Linked DNA regions of Coturnix japonica. The protein of the gene in region 2 interacts with the protein of the main gene of each other region in a pairwise test. Links are inferred from orthologs where the notes say so. Each region holds a gene or a part of one and is shown on either strand. Other genes may lie near its edges.

Region 1 (5,074 bases), on a different chromosome or scaffold from region 2:
AGCACAAGTGCAAACTTGAAGACTGGAGGATTCCTAATTTGTGAGTGGGTGAGACAAATCACATGTAAGTTCTGATACCAGGAACCCCTCCTGCAGAGCACCTATGAATATGGAGTAGGTCCAAAGGAGGGCCACGAGGATGATGAGAGGGTTGGAGCACCTCTGCTGAGGGATCTGGGATTGTTCAGCCTGGAGAAGATCTCACTGCAGCCTTCCAGTAGGGTCCCAGCCAACAGCTGAACCTTTCTGGCTGAGAAACACTCCCCAGCCCTAAACCAGAGGGGTTGGCGGCCACCTCCTGACCCACACGAGAGAGGAATGTCAGGCATGTCATGAAATGCAAGTCCTGCTTCCCAGACCTGTCAGGCTCCATTAGCTCCAAAGGGGCCTGACAATGTAAGGGTTTGAAACCCCAAACCACTGCATTAGCAAAGTCTCCTTTGCTAATGAACTACCCATAGCTGAAAGGCAAGCTCAAGGCAAAGGCAGTGTAGCATGTGCAAGTCACAGGCAGCTGTGCAGACACTCATCCATATCTATTCTCACAGTCTCCCTTCCTCTTCACGAGACACAGATATTTGAGTTATAAAGCACAAACCTCAGAACTGGAAGTCATCGGTGGACAAGAAATTCTCCATGCTAAGGCTGTTAGGGCTGGACACAGCCTGGTCACATCCCTGTGTTCCCAGCACTGCTAAAGCAACGTTATCCTGCATGGAGTCAGGGCATCAACCATAACATTGGGCAGCCTGTTCCAGTGCCTCACCACCCTCAATGTAAAACATTTTTCCTTATATCTAACCTCAATCTCCTCTCTTTGAGCTTGAAACCATTTCCCCTTGTTCTACCACCACAGACCCTGCTAAAGACTCTATCCCCTTCTTTCCTGTAGAGATACTGCCTCGCCAAATAAAAACTCAAGATGACAATTCAAAAGCACAGAGCACAGTTATGTACTGTTCAGAAGAGATCCAACACTTCGCTTTCTCTGTTACAGTTCCCTGCTTGCTCTCCAACCTGACCAAAACCCCATACAGCAATGCATCCTGCCCTTACAGGGACCAAAGCTAGGATGCAACTCCTAAATGCAGTGTACTGTTGATTACTTTGAGCTTAGAAAATGAGTCACTTTACATCCACAAACCACTGGATTCCTGTCACAGTCCAAGTTGTGGGGCAAACTACTTCTAGGTGAAACCACAGTTGACTACCCAGGAAGGAAAATAAAACCCTCCCCACTATTTTATTTAAACAAACACATAAAACCCTTTAAAATGTTCATATCTGCGTATTAAATACTCACGTTATTTGGTGATTATCCTTTTGGTAGATTTTTTGGATGTACTCACATACTGTAAAAGTCTTAAGAGAACAGCCTTGCAGAGGACCAAAGCATCCTGTGCTCAGGGCAGCATCATGCAGTTGTGTCCATGCTAACAGATTTAGGAATAAGTAAAGCTGGACACTGACGTGCGCTGCAAACAAGAGGTCATTAGAAAAACAGCACAGACATCTGCAGTTAAATAAAAATCAGTGGAATTATTCACGTACAAAAAGTTGCAGGAACAGGAACAGGCATTTGGGAGGAAACAGGTACTTAAATTAATCCGTTCCAAATGAACATACGCAATAAAAATGGGATTAACACCTGTGCAGATAAAGTACTTCTGCTCCCTTACACGGTGGATGCTTGTATTGCATTTTCAGTCCTTCCTAATAAGATTCCTGATAGCTGTGAAAACATGACATCATCTCCTTAATGATGCAAGGAGCTGCACATTACACAAGGCTTTACTTGGTTTCGTGGCATTCTTTTGTAGCTTTCCTTGCAAGGCTCAGGAATGCCCTGACCTGCTCATGACAGCATGTGGACAAGCAACCTCGGTGGTCACGAAGGGATGAAGGAGACTGAATAGAGAACTGGCTCACAAACGGTGCTCAACAGGCTGTGGAGGGACAGAGGGCAGGGAAGACCTGGCAAGTGAATACCAGCAGTTCACATTTAAACAAACAAATTAATTTAATAGCTCAGCACTTTGAGCATTCAAATGGACATAATTTTATCCACAGTAATATCAACATCTAAAGATCAATGGTATTTTATATAACTCTCCTGGTCCCTAACCACAGTGCATCCCAACAAGGCATATCTTTACTTTTCTCCACTATTTCAGTTTTTAATTGGTAGGAATATCAGTCTATCAGTCCCAAGGGTTGTTTTTTTATCCTCCCTTCTTCACCTTCTTGAAGACAAGTTTATGCTAAGAACCATCCTCCGGATTTTGTCTTCATTCTTTAAAATATTAGCTTTAACAGCACGGATCTTGTCTTGCTGGTCTTCAATCAGCTGGTCCAGCTCAGCCAGTTCAGCTTTTAGTGGTTCTACAGCACCGTCAATGATGCTGAAAGAGATGCAAAGTGTTGTGTTACTGGAAACGTTATGCTGCTTCAGGTTACTTTAGCCTCCAAGAACATACATTCAATGCTTCAAAGTTTGCAAAGAATTTAAGTTGCGCTCATCCTTCCTGAAAGAAAGTTTAGGATGAGAAGCACAAAGGCAAAGCCAGCAACACAGAGAGGAACACTGTTTAGGAACACCCCCCCCACACACAATTCAACAGCAAGCAGTAATCTTGTCTAATCTAGTTTTTCTGTTAAAATCTCTGTGCTATGCAGTTATTCTGCCCCATCATGAGTGAGCACCAAGCACTTCTTTTACTTACCAGCCAAGAGCTCCAACTGCCTGGCTCAGGGACAAAGAGGGACTTGACTGTGTAGGATAGAGCATAAGAACAACACCCACTTTTTACTGGGGTCTCTGTATCTTATCATGATGCACATGGCAACAGCCATCCCTCCAGGCCTTGCAATAGGCATTTAAAGAGGAGGGAAGCACAGTGCAGAGGAGCAAGTACAATTGCTGTGGAGGTTGATGGCCTGCTACCAGCTGTTTCCTACAATGAGCCAGCAGCACAGCACTGCCTGCCAGCAGCACCAAGCCACAGCAAGCACCAAGTAGACATCTGATAAGGGGCAAGGTACAAGAAAACTGGCCCTCAGTAGCTGCTGACAAGGGCAGGCAATCCCACAATAACAGGAAATTTAATAAACAGGAATTAGATGCTAATGAAACCACTGATATACCTGAAGGGAATGGGACTGTTTGGCTTTAAAACCAGTGTGCCCCTTTCCACAGTGCTTCGCAGCCAGGGAGTTGATGGGCAGAACTAGTCTGCTGTCATTCTGAATTATCCAGTCACTGTGAGGACTGGGTAATCAGCTGAAGTCAGCATCTCATAATTACTTAGCTTTCCCCTCCTTTCTACTCCATTGACATAAATCACAAAAAATATCACTAGAAATTCTACTAACATTTCCCTAATGGGATTCTTCAATTGTCTTTCACAGAAGAAAAAACAGCCAACAAAGGTGCATCCAAATTCCACTACATATGGGAAGCACTCTCTTCTTCATGTCAGATACTGCGTAATTCTTCCCTGAAGGATCTGACAGGCTGTAGCACTACACTGAACTGATGAGGATCTCACTGCAATCCCTGCAAAGTGCTGTGATATGCTGCAGCAGTCCAAGCTCGTGAAAGGGAGCTGAATGGCTCTGCTAAAGTGATGCTGGTTTGCTCCCTGTCACCAGGGCTGGTTCAAGCTGTCTGGGCACAGGCAAGCAGGTCAGTGCCTCAGTTTCTACAGCTGTAAAATAAAACCCAATGCCATTTCCTTTCTCTTTGCAGCGGTCCTACATCCTAAGGCAACCACAGCTTAAGAAGGTGTTGTGTAAGAGCAAGGAATTGACATCATTAGGCTTTATATGTGAACCTAATTCCTACCCCAGCCCCACTAAGCCAGCAGCTGTAAAACTTCCAACATTTAACAAATCGCTACCTATCCAGATAAAACTTAGCTAAGGATACCACTCAGTGGCATGGTTGCTTCTGCAGGAAATAAAAGTATCGGTTCAACAGCAGTTATCTACATTGGAATCCATGATGACGAAATCAATCTTCAATATCTGAGATCATTTTTAAGATCAGATTACATGGAATTGGGACGGTAGTTCTGTTTGCAAGGAGAATAAAAAGATATACTACTGAGGAAAGTAAAGCTGAAGCACCCCTTCCTAGGCATGACCTCCTTGGATGTGTTACCTTTGCTCTCCTGGCTTTCTGCTGTTGGTTTCAAACCATGCACAGACAACAACTTACTGACACTGCTGCAGAACACGCAGATTTCAGCAGCATACAGAAAGCAGTTTGTGATTTAAGGATTCAGAACCCACCAGGCCTACTAACCTGCTCCTCCGTTGCTCCAGATGTATTTGTGATAAGAAAACAAAGCAAAGCACTACACCTTTTCATTTCACCTTAGCATTCACATAGCTGCTGCCATGTACCTCAGGTGACGTTAGCTGGAAAGATTTTAATGCTTCAAAATAACACAATTCTAACTGCAAATAAAATTCCCCAAACCACAATGGAGACTGATGACAAACTTGCATTTTGAAGCGGATAAAACTCTCTCCTCTCCTGTAAACAGATCTGTCTAGAGAGATAAACCAGACTTTCTCCGACCACGCTCACCTCTGCTCTTTCTGCAGAGCTTCTGCATGCTGTCTGTTCTCATGCCTCCACATCTGCAACTCGTTCTTCATGGCATCCATGTCTTCTTGAACGTAGTCCATGTTCCTGCCAAGCGTAAAGGTACTGCGGCTCAGAGTCTGAATAGAGTCCTGAAACTTCTCCACTTCTTTGGCTGCCAAGTCTCTCTCTTTCTTTCTAGCTGCTTCCGATATAAAAGGCTTCTCCTGACAGAAAGGATGGATAAAGAGAAAAGCATCAAAATGAGGAAAAATGTTGCACACAAGGTGTCAAATGAAGAATGTTTTAGACACTGCTGGCTACGAGGAGAAATCTTTACACAGTGTTCACAGTTTGAAAGGGAAGGGGAAGAAATGAAGCAATAGTTTAGAATCAGATGAGCAGAATGAGTATCACATCCAAGCCACCACTGCTAAGGAGAACTGCTATTAAACTGCAATAACATTGGCAATATTCAATTGC
Region 2 (6,409 bases):
ATTTAACCACAGCAAGGTTTTTCTTATTCCCCCCAAGGTACATCTGTACCTGCAAAACTGAGGGAATACTACAAAGCAAAACAGTACCTCAGAGTAATTTGACAGAGAACACTACAAACTATCAGACTGTGTCTTTTGGGCATCAGCAACATGTCCATATTCACCTACATTCTAACACCTACCTTTAATTTACACTGACAGAAAGATCTGGTACATCTTAGTGGGACATAGAGAATAAGATGCAACAACTTCAAACTTGCAAGGAGTTGCTCTGGAAGACAAAGCTGGCATTCTCCTAGCTCCCATCTGGCTAGCTTTGGTTCAGCAATACACAGTACTTAACTTGGGTTGTTTTGAGTGTGTGTTAGAACATTGAAACTGGCACCAAACTGAACTTATGAAGAACAGACAAGAAAAACCATTTCTTCTTTTAAATAGAATAACATAGATGCTCTTTCAAAGGCTGTAACTTCCCTCAAACTATTTAATACAACCTCCTTCTCCCAGCCCACTGATATATAATTTAGACAAGACCACTTTCAGATAGAATAAAGGACATTTTTCACTCTATTAACAGCAGTGGGACAGTGTTCTTTACACTTACAAAGCTACCAATAATTCCTTTTCCATCATTACTATCTACATCCACACCTCAGATCACTCACCAACTATTCAGTCCAGACTCAGTGAGAGCTTTAGAATCTGTTCTCTACCCTCAAAAACAATTTTAGTGCTAAAATAAGCAAATATGCTCCCCACAGAGGCTCAACCTCCAAACAGTGTCATATATGCATAACTCCACTAAATGTAGCTTCACTGAAATCGGTTACCACCGAACACAGAATTAAAGGAGGATTTAGGACAAGTACCTTTGGACAGGTAAAAAAGGAAGAGAAGGCACTTTTGTGTCTTGGAAAGTAATGTGTGATAGCAGTCTACCAGTCTTGCATGTGCATTTCATCCTGAGATTACTGTGCTTTCAAGTATGAGCAAATACAATGAAAACCAATGTACTAAGAAATGCTGCAAGTCTATGCAAACCTTCTACTAAGTAATATCTCAGTATCAGTGGTCTACTGTTAATCCCCAAAAGTGGGAAAATGTAAGAACTGTTGAGAACAGTTGAGCACCATAAATGTACACGCGGTATGGAACTAATATGTTCTAAAGGACACAAAGATATTATATTTGTTACTTTAATAAGTAACAATACTGCAGTGATAAATACACCTGTACATCCCAGGCTGTTTACTTTATAGAGAACTTTTCCTGGTGCTTCTTTGTCTCAAGTTCTGTCCCTGAATACTTTATAACCCAATACAAAGAACAAATAGAATACTTACAAAACAGACTTCCAAACCCAGTAACAAACTTTTTAAACCTCCAGCTGTTACTCTCCTTTACCAAAAGGAAAACTCTACTCTTAGGCGTTTTTAGGAGGTAGAAATAGAAAATAACACCAGCTTAAAACTTCTGAGCACACTATTATCATCTGAATTACACTGTAAAAAGATAGGAGGCTACCTGACTAAGCTTCTGCCAGGAGATATTGTACTAAGTGCTATCTTTGATTTTAACATTGTTAGTTTACAGCAACCAGATCTAAAGCTATTTTTTATCATTCTCAGAGTGTAGCCCAGGAAGCACATACCTACATTACAGAAATACTAAATTATTTTTACTAAAATAGCAACTTAAACCTTTAAGATTGTCAATCTCTAGAACTCTAGAATATGGTTTTATCTTATTGAACGTTGCAGTATGCAGAACTCTCATACCTGTAAAAATAAGACAGCTAACAGGTGTTACAATGCCTGCTTCCAAGCAAACATGGCTTTTGGTTTCACAGCAGTCTTCCGAGCATCAAAGAACATCGCTCAACGCAATGCTCCCTTCACCTGAGTGACAACTGTTTAATTTTATGAGGAAACAGTAATCGCTTAAAGAAAGGTTAATTAAAGACAACTCACCACCATCCCTCTCTCTAACTCTGTGAGTATGCACACTTTTTGCTTTACTGTGCCCTGTGTTGTCACTGTATTTGTTTTCAGGGCTATCAGAGCGCCGCAACATTTTATTTGGTGGTGAAGGATCTGTGGTGTCTCGCATCTTGTCATGACGATGATCACCACCACTTGGGTGACTCTTGGATGAGTACTTAAGAGCCTGAAAAAGATCACAAGAAAACAGGCATTTTCATCAGATATAGATACAGAAAGAACATTTTAACATCAGTCATAAATTTCAGATCTTTCTTCTAAAACACTTTTTGAAGTAATTAATTTTTATTTCCCATTTAAATAACCACTATTCATCCTCTTAGTTTTAATTACCTACATTAGAGCAACAAGTTCTGTAATTAGGACTGAAACCATTTGCTCTCACCACGACATCCAACATAACATTTGCTGTTAAGATAAGCCTAATTTCTTCCTATTTTCTCAGTGAAGGACTGCATACTTTAAACGGTAAGTGGGGCACAAAACCTCTGACACTCAAAACAAGCACAAGTGCAGCTGGTACTAAAGAAATAAAGAGACAGTTATATTGAAACAGAGTGAACTGTAAATATCCATACTGTAATGGAGGCCACTTCCTTTTGCATCAACGTTAAGCTTCTGCAGATAGACTTCAGTACTAGCAAGCCCATAACAGATACAATAAAAATCTAGAATTTGGGGGGGTATTTAAGAGGGCAGAACATAATGTGACAATTCATTTTGGAACATTTACCAAAACTAACAAGTTATGTCTCTTTTTGATCTGCTTGATTTTGCAGAGCGAGCTCATGAGTGGCAAGTGTTTTATATTACATGAACTGTCACTGACAGCTGCCTCGGACCATCAGATGACACTTCACAGTGATAGAAACACTCAGAAATGTAATAAAATGGTTTAGTTAAATGCCCTAAGAAGAGCAGTATCCCTACACACAGCGTTCCCCAGACTCACACCCTCCTTAAGGTATAATTTTATTTTTCTTATTTTTATTCTTTCGTATTTCTCATAGGCATTAGACTACGGGACTCATCATACTTAAATTGAAGTTACTGTCAAAAGCCAGAGGATCTGATGTTTTTGAACACCCCCAGCAGCTGGCAACTGTAGAGACTGGCAACTGTGGAGACGAAGCCCTACTGACAACCCCAGTTCAGGGTCTAAAATCATGCCCTGCTCAGGTTACAGCCCGCAGCAGCAGTTTTGGGGAGAAGGGCCTCGGGGAGGGGGGCGGGGGGCGAACAAGCCGCCTTTTGTTTTTAGGAGGACAACGTTCCCCTTCCCCCGGCTCTCGGCTCCTCCGCCCGTGACCCGGCCGCGCTCTCCCGCCCCTGTGCTCGCACCTCCCGTCTGCTAGGCCCCGGCCCCGCGCTAGGCCTCTCCTACCGGCCCGGCCATCGCAGCGGCGCGGCGGCTCCGTTCCCCCGGCTGCGGGCCGGAGCCTGTTCCCTTCCCCACCTCTCGGGCCTTACAAGGCACCGCGGGCCGGGCGGGAGCCGCGCGGGGCAGCGCGGCCTGCGGCGGCGGCCGAAGCCTGGGCTGGAGTAGCTCCCCCCCCACCTTCCCTGCCCTGCTCCTCCTCCTCCCGGGCCCGGCGGCCGGCGCGGCGGTACCTGGTAGGGCTGCGAGTCCCCCCTGCGGTCGTGACAGCTGCGGAGAAGGCGAGAGAAAGAGAGAGAGAGGCGTTAGTGAGGGCCGTTACCGGGCGCCGGGAAGGGGCCCAAACATGGCGGAGGCGGGGGGAGAGCCGCGGGGCCGAGGAGGGGATTTACCCATCACTGAGTCTCTGCTGTTTCCTCGCATACATTACCATCAATGCCCGGCCTGTGTGTGTGAGTGTGAGGGGACCAGGAAGGGACGGCCGCGGCCGGGCCTACGGGCGCCGAGGGGGGAGGAGGGGAGCGGCGCTCCGCCTCGCCGCCGACCGGGGGCAGGGAGGGGGCAGGGAGGGAGGGGGCGGCTCGGCAGCTGTGCTGGGAGCGGCGCTCACGGGCCCATCTCCGCCGCGCGCAGCCTGAGGGGAGACGCCGGCAGCTCGGCCCCGCTGAGGCGCTCCGGGAGCGCGGACTCCGTCGCTGCCGCCGCTGCCGCCTCCTCCCCCCGCTGCGCCCGCCGCCGCCGTCGCCGCTCCTCCAACTACATCCGGGAAACTCGGGCGACGCCGCGCTCGGTTAACGTCGGCTCTTTTCGGCTCTTTCCGACGCGCTCCGTCCCCTCTGTCCCCTTTGCTCTCGGGCGACTCTGCCTTCGGCAAACATCGGCAGTCTCCGCCGAGCCCAACGCCCTTCAGTCTCTCCCTTCGGCAAACATCGGCTCGTTCCGTAGCTCTCCCCCCCCCTCCGGCCGGCCCGCCTCGTCCTCCACTCCCGAACGCTACCTGTCTTCGGAAAACATCGGTTATTTCCGTAGAGAGGCTTTCACGCTCTCGTCGGGGTGACGCCGCCTTCGGAACCGTTCGGCTATTTCCGTGACCTGCGCGGCCGTTGGCGGGGCGCGGCCGATTGGCCGAGGGGAGCGAGCGGGGGCGGCAGCGGCAGGCAGGTGGGGGCGATGGGGGGGGACCGCGAAAGGAGCCGAGGTGGTGCGGGGGGGATAGGAAAGGGAAGGTCTCCCCTCACTCACCTCCCCCCTCCCCTTCCGCCCGGCGCCTTGATGTATAGGCAGGAGCCATTTTGTGTACGTTGGGTTCGGCGAGAGGCGCTCGGTAGGGAGTGGTTGTTAAAATGTCCCTGGGGAAGCGGCTGGCCGGGCCGCGTCCCTCCTTCCCTCTCAGCTCCCCCTGAGGCGATGGCGGAGCTCGGGCCGCCTCACGCGTGGAGGGAGCGGGTGAGCGGGACGGGCAGCGCTGCCCTGAGGAGCTGGGAGTGATCCAGCCCTGCTGGGTTGGATGGGCCCACGGGCAGCATGAGCTGCTGGGTGGGTGCTCTGCCCACGGCATGGTGTTGGGACTGATAGCCTTGAAGGGCCCCAAACCATGCAATGATACAGAGCCTGAATCTTGTCCTGCCTCCTTAATGAAAAGGGAAGTGACAAGCCCCCCTCAGAACTGGCCTGTAGCAGTACATCTTTCCCCACAATGCTGTGTTTAAACATAGCATCACACTATAACTATAGTTTTTCTCTCTGTTCTTGTTTTTGTGTTAACGTGCAGAAGGCTGCAGCTGAGAGGACACCTCAGGAAGCTCACGGACAGACAGGAGCAGAGGATGACCCAGCAGGGAGCTGTTCTTCAGGGTTACAACAATGAGCTCGTTAAGTGTATTGAAGACTTGTGTATGCAAAAAGAGGAGCTGAACAAACAGATCCAGCAAGCAGAAGAGGAGAAAAGCAGACTCCAGCATGAAATTCAAACCCTCAATGAACAGTTGGAGGGGGTGTGTGAAAACCTGGCTCAGAAGGTAGCTTCGCGGAACGAGCTCGATAAAATTCTTGCTGAAACTGAAGCTGCTTACATGAAGATTTTGGATAGTTCCAGAACTTTGCTTAGTGTCCTGAAGAAGGAAGTGGGAAGCTTAAAGCGTCCGCCAGAACTGAAAAGTAATGTAACCTGAAGCTGTTAAATGTCTGCACTTCCCAGTTCTAAAATTCCACTAGGTGAGAAGCGGTCAGACACAGCACCCTGTGACAGCACTATGAGCTGAGGGGCCTTTCTTCCAACCTTTCCACTTTCCCATAATTTTTAAATGCGTTAGAAACACTGTAGATAAAACAGATGAAATAAAGTTGCCGTTTTCTTATTAAAGAAAGTTCATAATTGCTCTTAAATCACAGCAAAACTAAACTGCAGATATGTAGCTGTCAGTTTGGACATAGTTATGCTTCAAGGCTCTTCTGAAAGACAGGAAAAATGTTTTATTGGCTGGATTTTGGCTGGTTACTGTGGAATGGCTGTTTGATAGAATGTTACTTGAAATCTGGACAGAATGCTCGCATTTTTTCCATTGCTCTTTTACCCAAAGCTGTGTTCATGGCTTCTCTGAAATCCTGCTGTCTTTCTCCCATATCCTTTTTTTCCCCTTACCTACATGTGTAGACAGAAAAGCACTGTAGAACTAATGGATGCAAGTAGCTTATACTTGTTGCTTGACTTTTAGGGACCAAGTAGGAATTAGTTTTTTAGCCTTCTTAAGGAGTCTGGACTTCTCTCCGTGATCCACGTGCAGCCCCTGTTGACAATCATCTTTCACTTAGCTGGAATTTTGGAGGAATAATTTGAGAAAATGTGATTTAAGCAGGGTATGAAAGATTAACCTCACAGACTGTGTCAGGTTTGTGTATCTTCTGAAGCTGTACTCTAAAGCCTTGAGTAGAAAGGAGTTATGCTATGGTGAGAGATGGATTTGAGTGCAAGTGGGAGGCATGACCTTGCAGGGCACAGTGCTGCAGGGAGCTGTACAATATAAATGAGGGC
Region 3 (6,539 bases), on a different chromosome or scaffold from region 2:
TCATATGCTCACAAGCTTCTAAAATATTTACTATAATTAAAGTCTGTTGAACTGTTTTTGCTTTTACCCATATTCTTCCATTCACTCCCAGCACCAGCTCTACTGGGTACAGTTGGGACAACTCCTGAATTATTTCACATTTGGGAGCCAAGAGTCTGTAAAATAAGATTAGAAAGGGTTGGAGGAAAAAGTGAATGCTCACGTTCGCTAAGTATTACAACATTATCAGCCAGCAGCTAAACAGTAGCACTGGAGTTACAAAAGCAACTCCAAAAGTTAAGACGATTCAAATTGCATATCCAGCCATATCAGAATTGAAGTTCTCCTCCCAAAACACATGCACCTAAAGAGAGCACCTGTGCACTGTAGCTGTTTTCCTAATTAGGCAGAAGAGTTACCAAGAACAAGGCTGAAAAACAACTTAGCTGTTCACACTGATAAGACACATAAACCAAATTACTTACTAAACCCAGGTATGACATAGCTACTTGTTATCTCCAAGAACAGATGCTCACCTCTCCTCCCTCAACATCAAAGCAACAACTAGTCTGACCATCTCTTATCACTATCAGCTGGTATTTTATGATAGTCACACACTGTTTCTAGTTCAATGTACATGCATCCTTTCCCCAGTAAAACTGGCATAAATGCAGCACAACAGCCACATAGCAGTTACTGGCTAGTTCACACTACTTGAATTGGAGACAGCTGTGCATATCCTACCTAAAAACAAAATGTTACTCTTCCAGTTTCAGCTGCACACAATTGTCTCTCCTTCAGTGCCTGCTAAGATGCTGTTCTGGTTTTAGGAGAAAAACAATGATAATACACCTGTATTTCCAGCTGTTGCTGAACACTGCTGTACAGAGCCAAGCATACTTCATTTTTCCCCACTCTCTCTTACCATCCTACCAACTGGGGGATGGGGAACTAACAAGGATCTCGGAAGCACAGGGCAGGGCACCCAAGCAGCTGGGAAGGGATAGAAATAAGACAGCTGACTTTAAGTGGCCAAAGGGATATTCCATACCATATAACATTACGCAAAAGGAAAGTTTTGAATGGGACATGAGTCCTTTTTTCTCTCTCTCCTGCTGCTTGGGGCCTAGCTGGGCATCAGTCAGTGGGTAACTTCCTATATACATTCACATATATGTATTTCTCTTAAGTAGTATCTTGTTTTCTTTTCTCTTTGTAAACAGTTTTATCTCAACCCATGAATTCTACTTTGTGTCTGTTTTTTAATCGATTCTATTCCCAAGCCTATAGGGAAAAGCAGGACAGGGTCTGGAGGGAGAGGAGCTAATGACTGTGTGTTGTTTAGACACATGCTAAGTTTAACAACCCCAACACTTTAGTACAACTGGTTTTCTTAGTACTTACTTTCTTATCAGACCTAAGGAAACTTTAAAGAGGAAGCCGTCTTGTCCAATTACTCCCATTCCACTTGCTCTTCCACTGCTGTCTATACAGACCATCTCTGGTTCCATGTCTTTATTTGCTACAAGGAACTGACCATAAACAAGGTCTCCCACCTAAAGCAAGCAGTGCCAGAAAACAACAAAAAAAAAGAATCATTAGAGAAGATAACAATGCACATTTGTAAGAAACATTCAGTCCATAAAGAGACAACAAAACAGTTGTAAACTGGATGAACACTTGGACAAGAACCAGCAGCGTACACTTGCAGCTCAGAAGGCCAATGGGATCCCAGGCTGGATCCAAAGAAAGATAGCTAGAAGGGTGAATGAGGTAACTGACCCCTTTATTCTGCCATTGTGAGGCCCCACCTGGGGTACTCTGTCCAAGCCTGTGGCCCCTGACACAAGACCATTGGAATGGGTCAGAAGAGGGCCGGAGCGCCTCTTGTGTGAAGAAAAGTTGAGAGAGTTAGGCTTGTTGAGCCTGGAAAAGGCTCTGGATAGACCCCATCGAAGCCTTCCAGTGCTTATAGGGAGTGACTTTTTATATAGCCTAGTAGTGACAGGACAAGGGGGAATGGCTTTGAATTAACAGAGGGGAGATAAAGGTTACATGTTAGGAAACAATTCTTTACTCAGAAGGCGCACCAGAAGCCATACCAGTCTATTCCATTTAAAATCACAGCCCATTTTACACCATGCTGACAGTGTTTCTGGTGAACGCACATATCACAAAACAACTTGTAAATGCTACAAAGCAAACCCTCCTCTACCAGCACCAGCGTTCAGAGGATGCTTTAAAGCCTCAGGGTGGCCCCTTGGGACCCACGTTACTGCACGAGTAGCACCTGCCACTGTTAACCGATGGGAAAGGTGTAAGGTCAGAAGTGAAGAAGCACAAAAAGCTCCGGAGAAAACAGAAAAAACTCACGGCCTCATCGGGACACCCCGTACAGGCCATGACAAAAGCTCTGTGAAAAAAGTCACGTTCCTCGTTTATATGGTCCGAGTGGTAAAAACACCGTTTACAAAGGCAAGCTCCCGGCGGGCAGCGTTACCTGCACGTTGGGCCTGTTCCTCTTGGTCGCGCCCTCGAAGGCCAGGTATGACAGCGAGGCCTGCTCGCTACCACCGACGTCCAGCCGGAACACGTCCCCCACCTTGCCCGTCACGATGCCGATAACGTGGTCTCCCTTCACCGGCACGTACTACAAGCGGGTACAAGCGATCAGCGGGCTCGTCCCGCACATCACCGCCCCCCGCCGCCCGCTGCCGCCGTACCCGCTTCTGCTGCGAGTCCACCCAGTAGGCGCCGCCCGCCGCCGCTCCGCCGCCCGCCTGCCGGTGCCGCAGCAGCCCGCACTTGGTGACCAGCAGCCCGCCCGCACAGCGCCGCAGCCCCGGCCCGCACAGCAGCCTCCCCCGCGGGGCCGCGCTGGTGCCCAGCGGCAGCTTGTCGAGGTCGGGCTCTCCGTGCTCGGGCAGCAGCAGCACATCGCCGGGCAGCACCACTTGTCCCACACGGGTCTCCGCCGGCACGCCGCCCCCACCCGCCATCGCGTGCGGCCCTTCCGGCGGAAGCAGACGCAAAATGGCGGCGGCGATGGAAGGGCCGAGAGCGCAACGACAGCGACACCGCCCGGCCGCCTGACGCAGGATCCAGCCGGGAGCGCGGTTGCCCGGTAACGCGGTTGGACGCGCTGTGCGATCGGGCCGGTAGGAGCGAAGCGGTAGGGAACGGGGGACAGCACCGCTACCACCTTCTCATATTAATTGCCTGATGAAATGAGCTTTGATAAAACCACCAACATCACACTGGGGATGTGATGCAGTCAACACTTCCTCTAACTGCTGTCTGAATTCCGATATCGGTGACTAATATCTGTCGGTTTGTCAGTAGGTGAGAATGGAGTCTCAATACCTGAGGAGATGTCTGGGAAGCTGCTTGAAAAAGGGTCTGGCGGAGGTTGTGGAGCGTCGGCCCGCTGACCCAATAGAGTACCTGGCACACTGGATCTACAACTACAAGAAAACACTAGAAGAAGAAAAGAAGGTGGGTCTACCTCGGGCAAAGCATTTCATGTCAATCTAACTGATGCTGTATAATCTCTCTTTGTGTTTTGTTTCCTTTTTTTTTCATTGATTTCTTGTTACCTCTGAAATAGAGAACGTTGGAAAGGGCCAAACTGGAAAAAGAACGGCAGGCAGCCCTGGAAGAACTTGAAATGTTAAGAAAAATGAAGGAAGAAGAGCTACTGATACAACAGAAACTTGAAGAACAACGGCAGGTTAATAGTTGTTCATAATTATAGTAGCGTGTGATGCTGGGTCAACTTGTAGCTCTCACTACAATAGTAGTCATTATCAACATAGAATCATAAGAGAATCAGAATGTTGGAAAGTACCTACAATTGTATTCTGATCTTGAAAGGGAAAAGATAACAAAAAGTGCTTAAACATTGCGTTTTGAAAATATCATTATTTCGAAAGGAATTAGAAAGGACAGCTGAGCAGCTGGGGAGAAAAACTTACCTGCTACATGACAAGATGTTACCAAAAATGAAGAGACTAAGCTAAAGAGAAACTAACTAAAGATATGTTAGAAAATTAGATTAGGATAAGTAGACTGTCTTCTGCAGTTAACTATCTTAGCTATTTTTTCCTCCCATAGAATCTATATGGATTAGTCTGTCTATAATAGATGCTGTGCAAAGCTTCAAAGAGCCTAATCCAAAGTATAGGAGATATAAATATTAACTACTAAAGAGCACGAGGAACTGAGTATCAAAAGCATATACGCTATCTTCAGCTGTCTTCTCTTTACAATAGGAACAAGAACGTGAGAAGATGGAACAGCAGAATAAAGAAGAGAACATGCAGGAGCAGCAGAAAGATCCAGAGGTTTAAGCCAAAGCTTAGTCAAGATAAAGAAATATTGTTAATCATCTCTCTTATTCAGATCCAGTCCCTAAATACAGAACACAAGGCAGAAGCCTTGAACACAACAAAACAGAAAGCTAACATTAGGGAAGAACGTTTAATGCTTCTTTCCAGCTTAGGTTTTAGACTTGAATTCTCATCTGTTCTATTGGGTTTCTTTAGCTTTTATTCAGAACAGAGCATAAAGTTATTATAAAATGTAGCTTAAGTTCAGATTTTTTTTTAATTAATAAAATACTAGAACTTGAACGTGTCTAACATGAATGCTTAGATAGTTACATTTTACTGCCTGGCAACGTGAAGCCCATTTGCCACACCTGGAAAAGGAACCAACACTTGGAGGTGGGATGCCTCTTGATTTTTTGGTCTTCCATATAAATACATAGTCATATGATGCTGTTTTGGTAAAACAGATTGATCATTGACACTTAGACGTGAAACATTTCCTAACTTTACTTGGAGCAGAATAGAGATATTTTTAGAGCACTGTGTTGAGATATTGATAGCACATAGCTAGAAGAATGACTGTAAATGTAACAGAAGTATGCACGTTTATAAACTGAAGCAAAAAAGAACCCTGAAACCTTTGTAAAAACAGTCTTTACATGCACAAAGACCCCATTTGCACACTAACACATTTGTGTAGCAAGCATCTGAAGTATTGTCTTTACATTCATACTTAAACTACATTTTCAAAGCATGTTCAAAGTATCCACTGTAGACGATTGCTCATGACACGGAATACTTCTAATTGAAAATGAATTTCCACTACAGGAAGATGAGAAGACAATAGCTGAACTTACAGATAGAGCAGGAGCACCTAATTTGCCCACAGTTGAGGAAGTAGATGAGAGTGGAGTGTCTGAGGTAAGTGTTTGGAAAGAAAAAGGTTACATGGAATTAATGCTCAAACATTTTCTTGCTGACAAATGGAAGACTAAGACTGTTCTAGTTAACCCTATACCGGTTCTTTACTACAATCTGAAGGGATATTATTTGGGCCACAGTCTTCATGCTGTCCTTAGGCTGTACATTCTGAAAGGCTGCTTATGTGGTGCTGAGTGAATAAAGTGCCAAAGATTTAAAATGCCCCTTTATAGTCATGTGTGTTATGAATGGATGTATTAATATTCTCAGACAAGAAGCAGCCTTCCTTCGCCTTTTGAGCAGGTGTCAAACAGGACACAGACTCAATCACAAACACTGTCTTGCTTCTGAATGAAATGACTTACATTATTCTGATTGGTCTGAAGTACATTGTTCATGCAGCAGAACGCAGAGATATCTGAACAATTATTTAATGTAAAAGACCAGGTACCAAGCGCACAGTGCTCAGTGCAGCAAAGACCTGCTAAGAATCAGGTTATCCAAACCCTGTGCCAGCATGACAGTACTTATTCCAAAACTACAACTATCAATCTAAATTGTGATATGCAGCCATCTTCTACACCCCTATTTTTTTATTCACTTTGTGCTTGACAATCCTAGTACATGAGAGGGTATAAATCAACTGTCATTGACTGTAAAGCATGGCAGTACATTAAACAGATGATGCTGCTTTATGCACATCACTGGAGATAAATATCAGTGTGTTTAGCTTTTTTCAGCTATGATATTCTAGGTAGTGTGACTTGGAATTTGGCTGGACTGGTTTTAGTACTGAAGCTGAGCCCTTTTTCCTTTGTTAGCCTCAGTCATTTGCTCACTTGTTTTCTGATACTGGTAGTATAATCCCAGCTCAGAACTGAAATTTGTGGTATTAGCACACTTTTGCTTTAGTAACAACCTGTTTTATAAAAGCCCTGCAAATACATTTGTGAATGTATTTATGACTAGGGCAAAGTTTCCTCAATTATTTGGATTTTGCCAAGTGGTAAATGTGACAGGATCTCAAGGCCTTGCTTAGTCCTGTTTTTTATTATCATTTTCTGGCAACCGAGTATTAAAAGCCATATATGAGGCTCTGGGTGTATTTTACACATCCTTAATGAAATGAATTGCAAAACCAGAAGTGCAAATGAATCAAAGTGTGCCCCGGTGGCGCAGTGGTAGGAATGCCGCCTTGCAACATCAGGGCCCGGGGTTCGAATCCCCCCTGTGGCGCAAGTGGTAGAAGTGCCGCTCTGCAGCACAGAGGCTCGAATCCCGGGAGTTGGACTCGATGATCTCTAAGGTCCC

The links.
Region 1: the proteins of WAC (region 2) and TRAF3IP1 interact in a two-hybrid assay, tested with the Homo sapiens proteins (2 studies listed by BioGRID and IntAct). The link is inferred for Coturnix japonica from reciprocal best matches to the Homo sapiens genes WAC and TRAF3IP1.
Region 3: the proteins of WAC (region 2) and DYDC1 interact in binary tests that used the Homo sapiens proteins (3 or more experiments, as listed by UniProt). The two-hybrid records come from large-scale screens. The link is inferred for Coturnix japonica from reciprocal best matches to the Homo sapiens genes WAC and DYDC1.

Annotation. Positions count from the first base shown.
Region 1 is NC_029522.1:3,265,633-3,270,706, forward strand, and holds the end of TRAF3IP1 (TRAF3-interacting protein 1), read right to left. Parts: intron 4,819-5,074; coding exon 4,595-4,818; intron 2,403-4,594; coding exon 2,237-2,402; 3' UTR 1,520-2,236; downstream 1-1,519.
Region 2 is NC_029517.1:13,928,092-13,934,500, forward strand, and holds the start of WAC (WW domain-containing adapter protein with coiled-coil), read right to left. Parts: upstream 3,927-6,409; 5' UTR 3,831-3,926; coding exon of another isoform or gene 3,814-3,830; 5' UTR 3,812-3,813; coding exon 3,771-3,811; exon of another isoform or gene 3,765-3,770; intron 3,649-3,764; coding exon 3,612-3,648; exon of another isoform or gene 3,531-3,611; intron 2,167-3,530; coding exon 1,971-2,166; intron 1-1,970. Other genes in the region: Sjoegren syndrome nuclear autoantigen 1 homolog, read left to right, coding at 3,814-3,830, 5,150-5,549.
Region 3 is NC_029521.1:3,509,481-3,516,019, forward strand, and holds DYDC1 (DPY30 domain-containing protein 1), read left to right. Parts: upstream 1-3,021; 5' UTR 3,022-3,103; exon of another isoform or gene 3,104-3,151; intron 3,152-3,318; exon of another isoform or gene 3,319-3,321; 5' UTR 3,322-3,327; coding exon 3,328-3,474; intron 3,475-3,586; coding exon 3,587-3,709; intron 3,710-4,250; coding exon 4,251-4,322; intron 4,323-5,135; coding exon 5,136-5,426; 3' UTR 5,427-6,369; downstream 6,370-6,539. Other genes in the region: EXOSC3 (exosome complex component RRP40), read right to left, coding at 1-155, 1,384-1,535, 2,480-2,629, 2,703-2,978. UniProt on the Homo sapiens protein: Functions as part of axonemal radial spoke complexes that play an important part in the motility of sperm and cilia. Plays a crucial role during acrosome biogenesis.